2 linked regions of the Mus musculus genome follow. The protein of the gene in region 1 interacts with the protein of each later gene in a biochemical or structural test. Links are inferred from orthologs where the notes say so. Each region holds a gene or a part of one and is shown in the gene's direction. Other genes may lie near its edges.

What was found.
Region 2: the proteins of Tjp2 (region 1) and Cgn form a complex in vitro, tested with the Homo sapiens proteins (2 studies listed by BioGRID and IntAct, with this or other methods). The link is inferred for Mus musculus from reciprocal best matches to the Homo sapiens genes TJP2 and CGN.

What each region holds. Positions count from the first base shown.
Region 1 is NC_000085.6:24,222,221-24,226,654, reverse strand, and holds the start of Tjp2 (tight junction protein ZO-2), read left to right. Parts: upstream 1-1,628; 5' UTR 1,629-1,804; intron 1,805-4,434. UniProt on the Homo sapiens protein: Plays a role in tight junctions and adherens junctions. Acts as a positive regulator of RANKL-induced osteoclast differentiation, potentially via mediating downstream transcriptional activity.
Region 2 is NC_000069.6:94,769,431-94,773,077, reverse strand, and holds part of Cgn (cingulin), read left to right. Parts: intron 1-2,375; coding exon 2,376-2,585; coding exon of another isoform or gene 2,586-2,590; intron 2,591-2,909; coding exon 2,910-3,116; exon of another isoform or gene 3,117-3,120; intron 3,121-3,647. UniProt on the Homo sapiens protein: Probably plays a role in the formation and regulation of the tight junction (TJ) paracellular permeability barrier.

The sequences.
Region 1 (4,434 bases):
CCAAAATTGGAACCAGCAGGATTGCATGGAAGGGCCATTAGGGCCATAGTAACTAAGACCTCAACTCAAAAAAAGAAAAAGCAAATTCATGGGTAGGTGTTTTTCCTTTCTTAGTAAATGGAGGCACAATTGGTATGCTTTTATTTGCTTAACAGTTTGCTTGTGCTCATTTTTCTTAAAGTGATACTTTCTTAAAGCCTGAGCCTTCAGGTTTGATCTTCCTTTGCCTGGGGCGTGTGTGTGTGTGTGTGTGTGTGTGTGTGTGTGTGTGTGTATTGGCAGGTCTGATAACACCTGTTCCTCAGGATCTGTCCATGTTGGTTTATAAGACCGGGTCTTTCATTTTTCGGGGGCTGGTAAATCCAAGGATCTGTCTCCCCAGCTCTGGGATTACAAATCTGTGCTACCACTCCTGGTTTCTCTTGTTGGGGTTTTGTTTTTGTTGTTGTTGTTTTTGTTCTTTTTTTTTTTTCCTTGAGAGAGTGTCTCAGTTGACATAGTTACTCCTGGCGAAAGGGTTTTGTGGGGAGGAGAGGGCGCTCGTGCGCGAAGTTGCCTGGAATAGAACCTCAGCATCCTTTACAGGATTTTTAAAAAAGCAAACTAAAATACTTAAAATTGCAACGCAGTGGGCAAGTGCGAGCATTCACACCGCACAACTATCACCACTATCCATCTCGCCATCACCACAACTTTTATCCTGTACCCTGGAATCTTCTTAGGATTTTTTTTCCCCCCTGAGACAGGGTTTCTCTGTGTAGCCTGGCTATCCTCGAACTCACTCTGTAGATCAGGCTGGCCTCGAACTCAGAAATCCGTCTACCTATGCCTCCCAAGGGCTGGGATTAAAGGCATACGCTACCACTATCCAGCTTTTCTTTTTATTTTTTTTTTTTTCTTTTTCTTTTCTTTTCTTTTTTTCTTCCTAGGATTTTTTAACCAGACTAGGTTAAATGGAAGGCGAACTTGCGCCCCGGGTGCAGCCTTGGGCACTAGGCACATTCCTCCTTCCCCGCGGTGTGACTAAGCAGGCTCTGGGCTTAGTGCTCCGCCCTCACCTATTGTCCCCCGAGAGGAACCGGTATTTCCGGATTGGAGCCTCAGAGCCAGAGAACCAGGGAGGTTGGAGGGGGAGGGGGATTGAAATTGATCTTAAAACTTATCTTTCACCGATACCATTACCCGTTTCTCTTCTTCCCCAAACAAAAATCAACCCGTTCCACTCCCCTACCGTATACATACAGTGACCCACAAACACCCTTCCCGTGGTTTCTGAGGGGTGACTGACCTTTCCTCGCCAGCACCTGCGGAAAGACTGAAAGCAGATCTGGGCACGAATTAGATAAACCCTGCGAATGTTTATACTCTTGAGCCGAAGCTTGGGGGTTTTGCTGAGAAAAGAGGCGGAAGCGTCGCTCAATCCCTGCCCCACCGCTGGGTGGCGCCGGTGAGGCCTCCCCCTCCGCCAACAGGACGACCCAAAGTGGCGCGAGCTACTTTTTTTTTTTTTTTCCGGGTCTGGAGGAAGCAGGTGATGGCCACCGCCCATCTACCCTCCCCCTAACCACACACACTCTAGATAGGCACTTGTCCCCCTTTCTTCTAGCCCTCCAAACAGGAAATAGGTTGAGTCACAACAATACCCAGGAACGGCCGGTGGCGGAGGTCACTGGCTCCCGCCTGCTGCGGCAGCCCGCGGCACTCCGCCTCCGGACAGGCGCTGCCCGCGCTGCGCCGCCCGACGCCTGGGACCGTCGCTTTCTGCGCGCTGACTCTGCTGGCTGCCGCCGCCCCCCTTCTCCAGGCGAGTACCTGCGGCTCTGTCCCTCCCGGGGTACAAGATTGCTCTGGAGCCTTGGCTCGCCGCGGGGCAGCGTGCGTGAACGCCGGTTGTCCCCGTGGGGTTTGGGATGTGATTTCTTGAGCACTGCTTTTTGCGTGCGTACTTCCATCTCCCACCCTTGGGCAGCCTCGCATCACCGGGGTTGACTTAGGGTCACCCGGGATCTGAGTTTACGCCGCTGCTACAGGTGCCTGGCTCCTCCTTGTCCTTCCAGGCGGGGACATTGTTTCGCTCCCGCAGAGCGTCTCTTCTGCTAGATTCAGAGGGCCTTTGGGTTTCTGTTGGCAGCGATGGTATCTAAGGGGTGGGTGACCTGAACGGGCGCGGAGCGAGGGAAAGCTGGTGTCTGTGTGCAGGTGGGGGCGATCCTGGTGACCATGAGTCTGCCCCCTCCCCCGCCGCCGACAGGAAAACAGTCCCGTCGCTTTGTGAAACATTTAATTCGACTTTGTGTGTGTGTGTATATATATATTTGGGGTCTTTCGACTCTTTTATAAAGGACGAGCCGAGTTGTCAACACAGGGCGTTGTCAGCTCTCCAGGGCTGCTTTCCGTGGCTTTTCTATGGGACTCTCAGTCAAAGCCGAGTTGGAGATTTTTATGTTGGAAAAAGGCCACCGAATGCCAAGCATTCTCCGAGCTTGAAAAGGGTGTTTTCCAGGCTGCTGCAGTGTGCGAGAGGGTTTCTGAGCTACTGTCTCTGAGTTGTCCACCGCGCCTTCCCAGGTCCGCAGGTGTGCGGGTTCTGTTCAGAGGCTCCTCTGGCCTCTAAAAGTTTCCCGACTTTCCTAGTTCATTTGAAAGACCAGTTTCCTGGTAAGGAGAGAGGGATTCTGGGACATTGCCTGGGGGCCTCTTGAAAACCCAGGTTTCAGGCCGCACCCTAGACCTGTTAGCCCTGGGATCTATTTGCACTTTGACCTTTGGGAACCTTTGGCCCAAGAAAAGTGGCGGTGCCCAGCTAAGGAATGAATCACGTCGGACTCCTACTCAGCCTTAAATCTGAATGCTATTTTAAAAATGGGGACAGACAGTACAGCCACACTGGACCTACCCACTCCGCCCCCAGAGCCATTGGCTCTTTATTGAGATTTGAAGATATTTGGCTAACATATAAGGCTGCAGGTTTTTTTGTTTCTGGCCTTGAAATGTGCCTTAAAATGATACGGAACGTGAAATTGAGCATTTTAACCTTCCTAAATGTTAAGTTAAACGGCACCGAATGCCCTCAGTTTTCTTCAGGGGGCTGAGAATCCTGACTAGGAATGTAATAGGCAGAATAGATGCAACATTACTAAGTGGCCAAGGTAGGCTAGCTGCAGGATTCTGTTGTGTGCTTTCCATTAAGGAAGATAAAGAGCCAGGAGGGTTTTCTTTTGTCTAGACTGCAATGGAATGGAGTCACCTAGGGAGTGGACTCAGCCCGCATGAATTAACTAAGTATAGATTCCCCGAAATCTCTTAATTCCTCATTGCCTTGGTACTAAGTAATGAAACTGCACTTAAAAAAAAATTACAGGGCTGGAGAGATGGCCCAGAGGTATTAGCACTGACTGCTCTTCCAGAGGTCCTGGAGTTCAATTCCCAGCAACCACATGGTAGCTCACAACCATCTGAAATAGGATCTGGTGCCTTCTTCTGGTGTGTCTGAAGACAGTTACAGTGTACACATATGCATTAAATAAATAAGTCTTTAAAAAACTTACTTTTTATAACAGAGCTTGGTGGCACTCAGCTTTAATCTCAGCGCTCAGAAGACAGCAGGATGAATTCTGTGAGGTCCAGGCCAGCATGGTTACTAGCAAACTCTAGGCTAGCTAATGAGTGTTTTCTCCTACCTTATGGGTCCTGGGGTGGGAGGGAGCCTTAGACTTGGCTGCAAGCCCCTCTACTGCATGAGTCTTCATTGCTACCCCCACCTCCACCCCACCCCACCCCCTTGTGTGTGAGTGTGTGTGTGTGTGTGTGTGTGTGTGTGGTTGTGTGTATGTGTGGTATGTGTATGTGTTTGTGTGAGTGAGTGTATGTGTGTGTGTGGTATGTATAGTGTGTGTGTATGTGTGTGTGGTGTGAGTGTGTTTATGTGGTGTGTGTATGTGTGTGCTTGTGTGAGTGTGTATGTGTGTGTGTATGTGTGTGTGTGGTATGTGTGTGTTGTGTGTATGTATGTATGTGTGTGTATTGGTGTGTGTGTGTGTATGTGTGTGTATGTGTGTGTTTGTGTGTGTGTGTGGTGTGTGAGTGTGTATGTTGTATGTGTGTGTGTTGTGTGTGTGTATATGTGTGTGGGTGTGTGTGTGGTGTGTGTGCGGGTGTGAGCGCTGTATGCACCGGCATGTGGAAGCCAGAACTTGACATCAGGTGGCTTCCTACCTTCTATCCTGAGGCAATGTCTCTCTCTCACTTGAACCCAGAGCTTCCTGATTTGCCTGTCCAGCTCGCCAGCTTGCTCTGAGGGTCCCTGTCTTCGATTCCCAGTGAGATTACAGTCTGGGCTCTGCCCCACAGTTACTGTTGTCCACAAGTGAAGTTTGAGTGGCAAGTTCTTTACCCACTGAGCGGTCTCTCCAGTCCCTCCCCTACTTTCATATA
Region 2 (3,647 bases), on another chromosome or scaffold:
GCTGCCTCACTTGGGACCCCTCTGCCCACGCTCGTGGGGCTGCCTCCATGAGCGTGACTTTCAAGCTTCATCCTAGCAGCTCAGGTTTGGGTTCACAGCTTTGCGGGGCTGCTCTCCTTGTTGGTTATAGAGCTCTCTAATAAAAAAGAGCTGTCAACAGCCAGTTTATGGTACAGGCAAAAACTGCTGGCTACCTCCTATAAGACATCTTAGCTGAATATAGGTGGATTTGTAAAACTCCAGGGTCATTTTTGCAGGTTCAGAACCTTAATTTGGTCAGCACTGCAAAACCTGCTCTTTGAGGGGGAAATTCATTAACTATATGATAAAAAAACAATTTTTTTAGGATGTTTATTAATTTACATTGAGAAATATAATCCCTGGACTGGGATGCTGGTATCCGCTTGGCTCGCTGACCTAATTGCGGAGTCCAAGTTGTAATCCAAAGGCTATTTGGAAAGCACACAGCCTGGACATGGGGCTCAAGGGGTGTAGTGGGTGATGTGCATCTTCCCAGTATCCCAAGTCACAGTTTTGCTGGCGGGTTGGTGACACAACACTCCCAAGAGTCTCACTTCCACCTTTTTTTTTCCCCTAAAAGTCAATCTTTTTTCATCATGCATGGATGATAGTTCATGAAAGAGTTATGAGGAAGTCATAAAAGTTAAAATAAACCCAGTTTCATACTCTTGGTGTTGTAGTTTATGAAGGATAAGAACACAGCTAATAGGTCGGGTGTGGTGGTTGCATGCCTTTAATTAGCATTTGGGAAGGAGAAGCAGTAGATCTCTGTGAGTTCAAGGTAAGTCTGGTCTACATAGTGAATTCCAGGATAGCCAGGGCTCTATAGAAAGAACCTTTCTCAACTCCCAGGAAAAAGAACCCTCCCCCAGGAAAAAGAACTTCTCCACAAAAACAAAAACAAAAACAAAAACACCAAACCAAACCAAATCAAAAAAGAGCACAGCTAATTATTTTTGGATGACATATAACGTGTTGTTGTGAAGTTAAAAATACCTATTAATATATTAGCTGACATGACACAGCTTGACACAGTCCTCCAGAAAAGCTTATTTATCATTATGCCTCAGGTAGGAGGTATAATTTATCAAGTATTTGAACAACATATAGGTTAGGGACGCAGACGAACCCAGCCCGACACAGACGAGGCAGTGGCTCTGTTTCTCTGTCTTTGTAAGGGATTTTGTTAGTGTCTACATTATAGTCACTGCATATTCTGTGACCCTTTGGTCTTATTGGCTATTGCTAAGTTTGAAAAGTGTTAATAACTAAGTAGAATAGCTACTTATAGTTAAAATTATAACTAAAGAGAACCATAATTTATATTTTAACTGCCCTTTAAAAAGAAGTTTAAGATGTATTACTATTTACTGTGCTATAATTTTGTGTTTTGGTTTATTTATTTGGCAGCCAGTCATGTTTTATAAAGTTTTATACTATAAAATTCCTCTTTATTTTTTAGTTTTTTGAGACAAGGACTCACTAGATAGGCCAGGCTGGCTTTGAACTCACAGAGATCTGCCTGCCTCTGTTTCCTGAGTGCTGGGATTAGTGCACCACCATATTTGGCCTAAAATTTCTCATTTGAAAGCAGACAGTTGGTATATTTTAGAATATTCATTGTATTGTGAAACCATCACCATTCTCTAGTTACACGATGTTTTAATAACCCCAGAAAGCGCCCATGCCCATTGGTGGTCCTTCCCTATGTGTCCCGACAATTTTGTATCTCCAGACTTGCATAAGCTGAATATTTCAAATAATTGTAATTCTATAATAATGGCTTTTTATTTATGGATTTTTTTTTCATCTGGTGTAGTCAAGATTCAACTGTGTGGTATCAAAAATCTTTATCTTTTTGTTTATGTATGTGTGTTTAGTTTTTTGAGATAGGGTCTTATGTAGTCCAGGAGTGCCTGGAACTTGCTCTGTAGCTGAAGATGCCTTGACAACCTGATCCTCCTGCCTCTGCCTTCTGTGTGTTGGATTATAGACATGTCCCATCACACCTGGCTTCATCCAGTTTTACGGATGTATGATGTTCTATTCATTAAAATTTAAGGACATGTGGATTGCTTCTGGGTTTGACATACAGTGACTGATCTTGCTGTGACATTTATAAGCAAGTTTTTGTGAGAATTGCCACTTTTCTTAGGCACATTACTTGAACATAGTATTGCCTTGTCATGTGATTAGCCTGTGTTCAGCTTTTTTGATTCTCCCAATTGCTCTCGAAAGCAGCCTTATCATTTATATTTCTTCCCATCATGTGTGAAGTCTTATTTTCTCCACTTTCCAGAACCTCATTATAGCAGAGTCTCGCCACTGGGTTTTTTTTTTTTTTTCCTTTCTAGGAGCTTCGACGCACCCAGGGGGAGCTTAAAGAGCTTCAGGCAGAGCAGCAGAACCAGGAGGTGACTGGGCGACACCAGAACCAGGTGTTAGAGAAGCAGCTGGCAGCGCTGAGGGAGGAGGCTGATCGAGGCCGAGAGCTGGAGCAGCAGAACCTCCAGCTACAAAAGACCCTGCAGCAACTGCGGCAGGACTGTGAAGAGGCTTCCAAGGCAAGGGGAGTGGGCCCAGGGCTCAGGAGGTGGAGGCTGAGGGGTCAGGAGGGCTGAGAAGCCAGAGGTCCTGCAAACTTAACCTATCCTGGGTATGTACTGAGGAGCTCTGGAGGCTCCTGTGTGTGGGGAATAGCAGAATTTGGCAGGGTGGCTGCATCTGTGTAGGGGTAAGATTGTCAGGAAGGTTCCTGGCTAGGGCTACCCCTCTATCCCTAGCTCCTGTGAGCTTTTAGTGGGTTCTCAGGTACCCCTTTTTCCTGGGTGTAAATGCTTACCCATAGGAGCCCCTCGGTCTGAGCCGATTCTCCCAACTGCCCGCAGGCTAAGGTGGCATCAGAGACAGAGGCCATGGTGCTGGGGCAGCGTCGGGCAACCGTGGAAACCACACTTCGGGAGACACAAGAGGAAAATGACGAATTCCGAAGGCGCATCCTGGGTCTGGAGCAGCAGTTGAAGGAGGCCCGAGGTCTGGCGGAAGGTGGGGAAGCGGTGGAGGCACGGCTTCGGGACAAAGTGCATCGGCTGGAGGTAACACTTTTGTCCACCTTGGGGTCTCCCCGCTCTCTCTCCTGCCCTCCTCCTTTCTCAGTTGTGTGCCCTCATGCACTGCCACCCCTCGGTACTCAGCTTAGAACGCCCCCATGTACTGTGCTCCCATCTCGGTATGTGGCCATCAGTTTTACTGCCAATGTGCACTGCCCTTTTCCCTCACCGTATGTATCTATTAAGCTTAGGTTTGTTTTCTGAACTGATTTGGTGTGAATGTTTCAAACTCTGCGCTGGTATTGTTGTCTCCCACCCTTTGCTTGTTCAGTGCTTTGATTTCTGAGTCGGTTTGGATGTCCACTTTTTTTTTTTTTTTTTTTTAGGCAAGATCTGACTATGTAATCCCTCCTGGCCTGGAACTCACTATGCAGACCAGTGAGGTCGGCCTGTGTCAGCCTCACAAGTTCTAGGACTAGAGATGTGTGTCACCACACCCAACATTACCTTTTTCATCTTCCTATCTCCAATGCTTCAGCCTGAGTTTTCCTTTCTCTCAGCCCAGCCTTCCTCCTC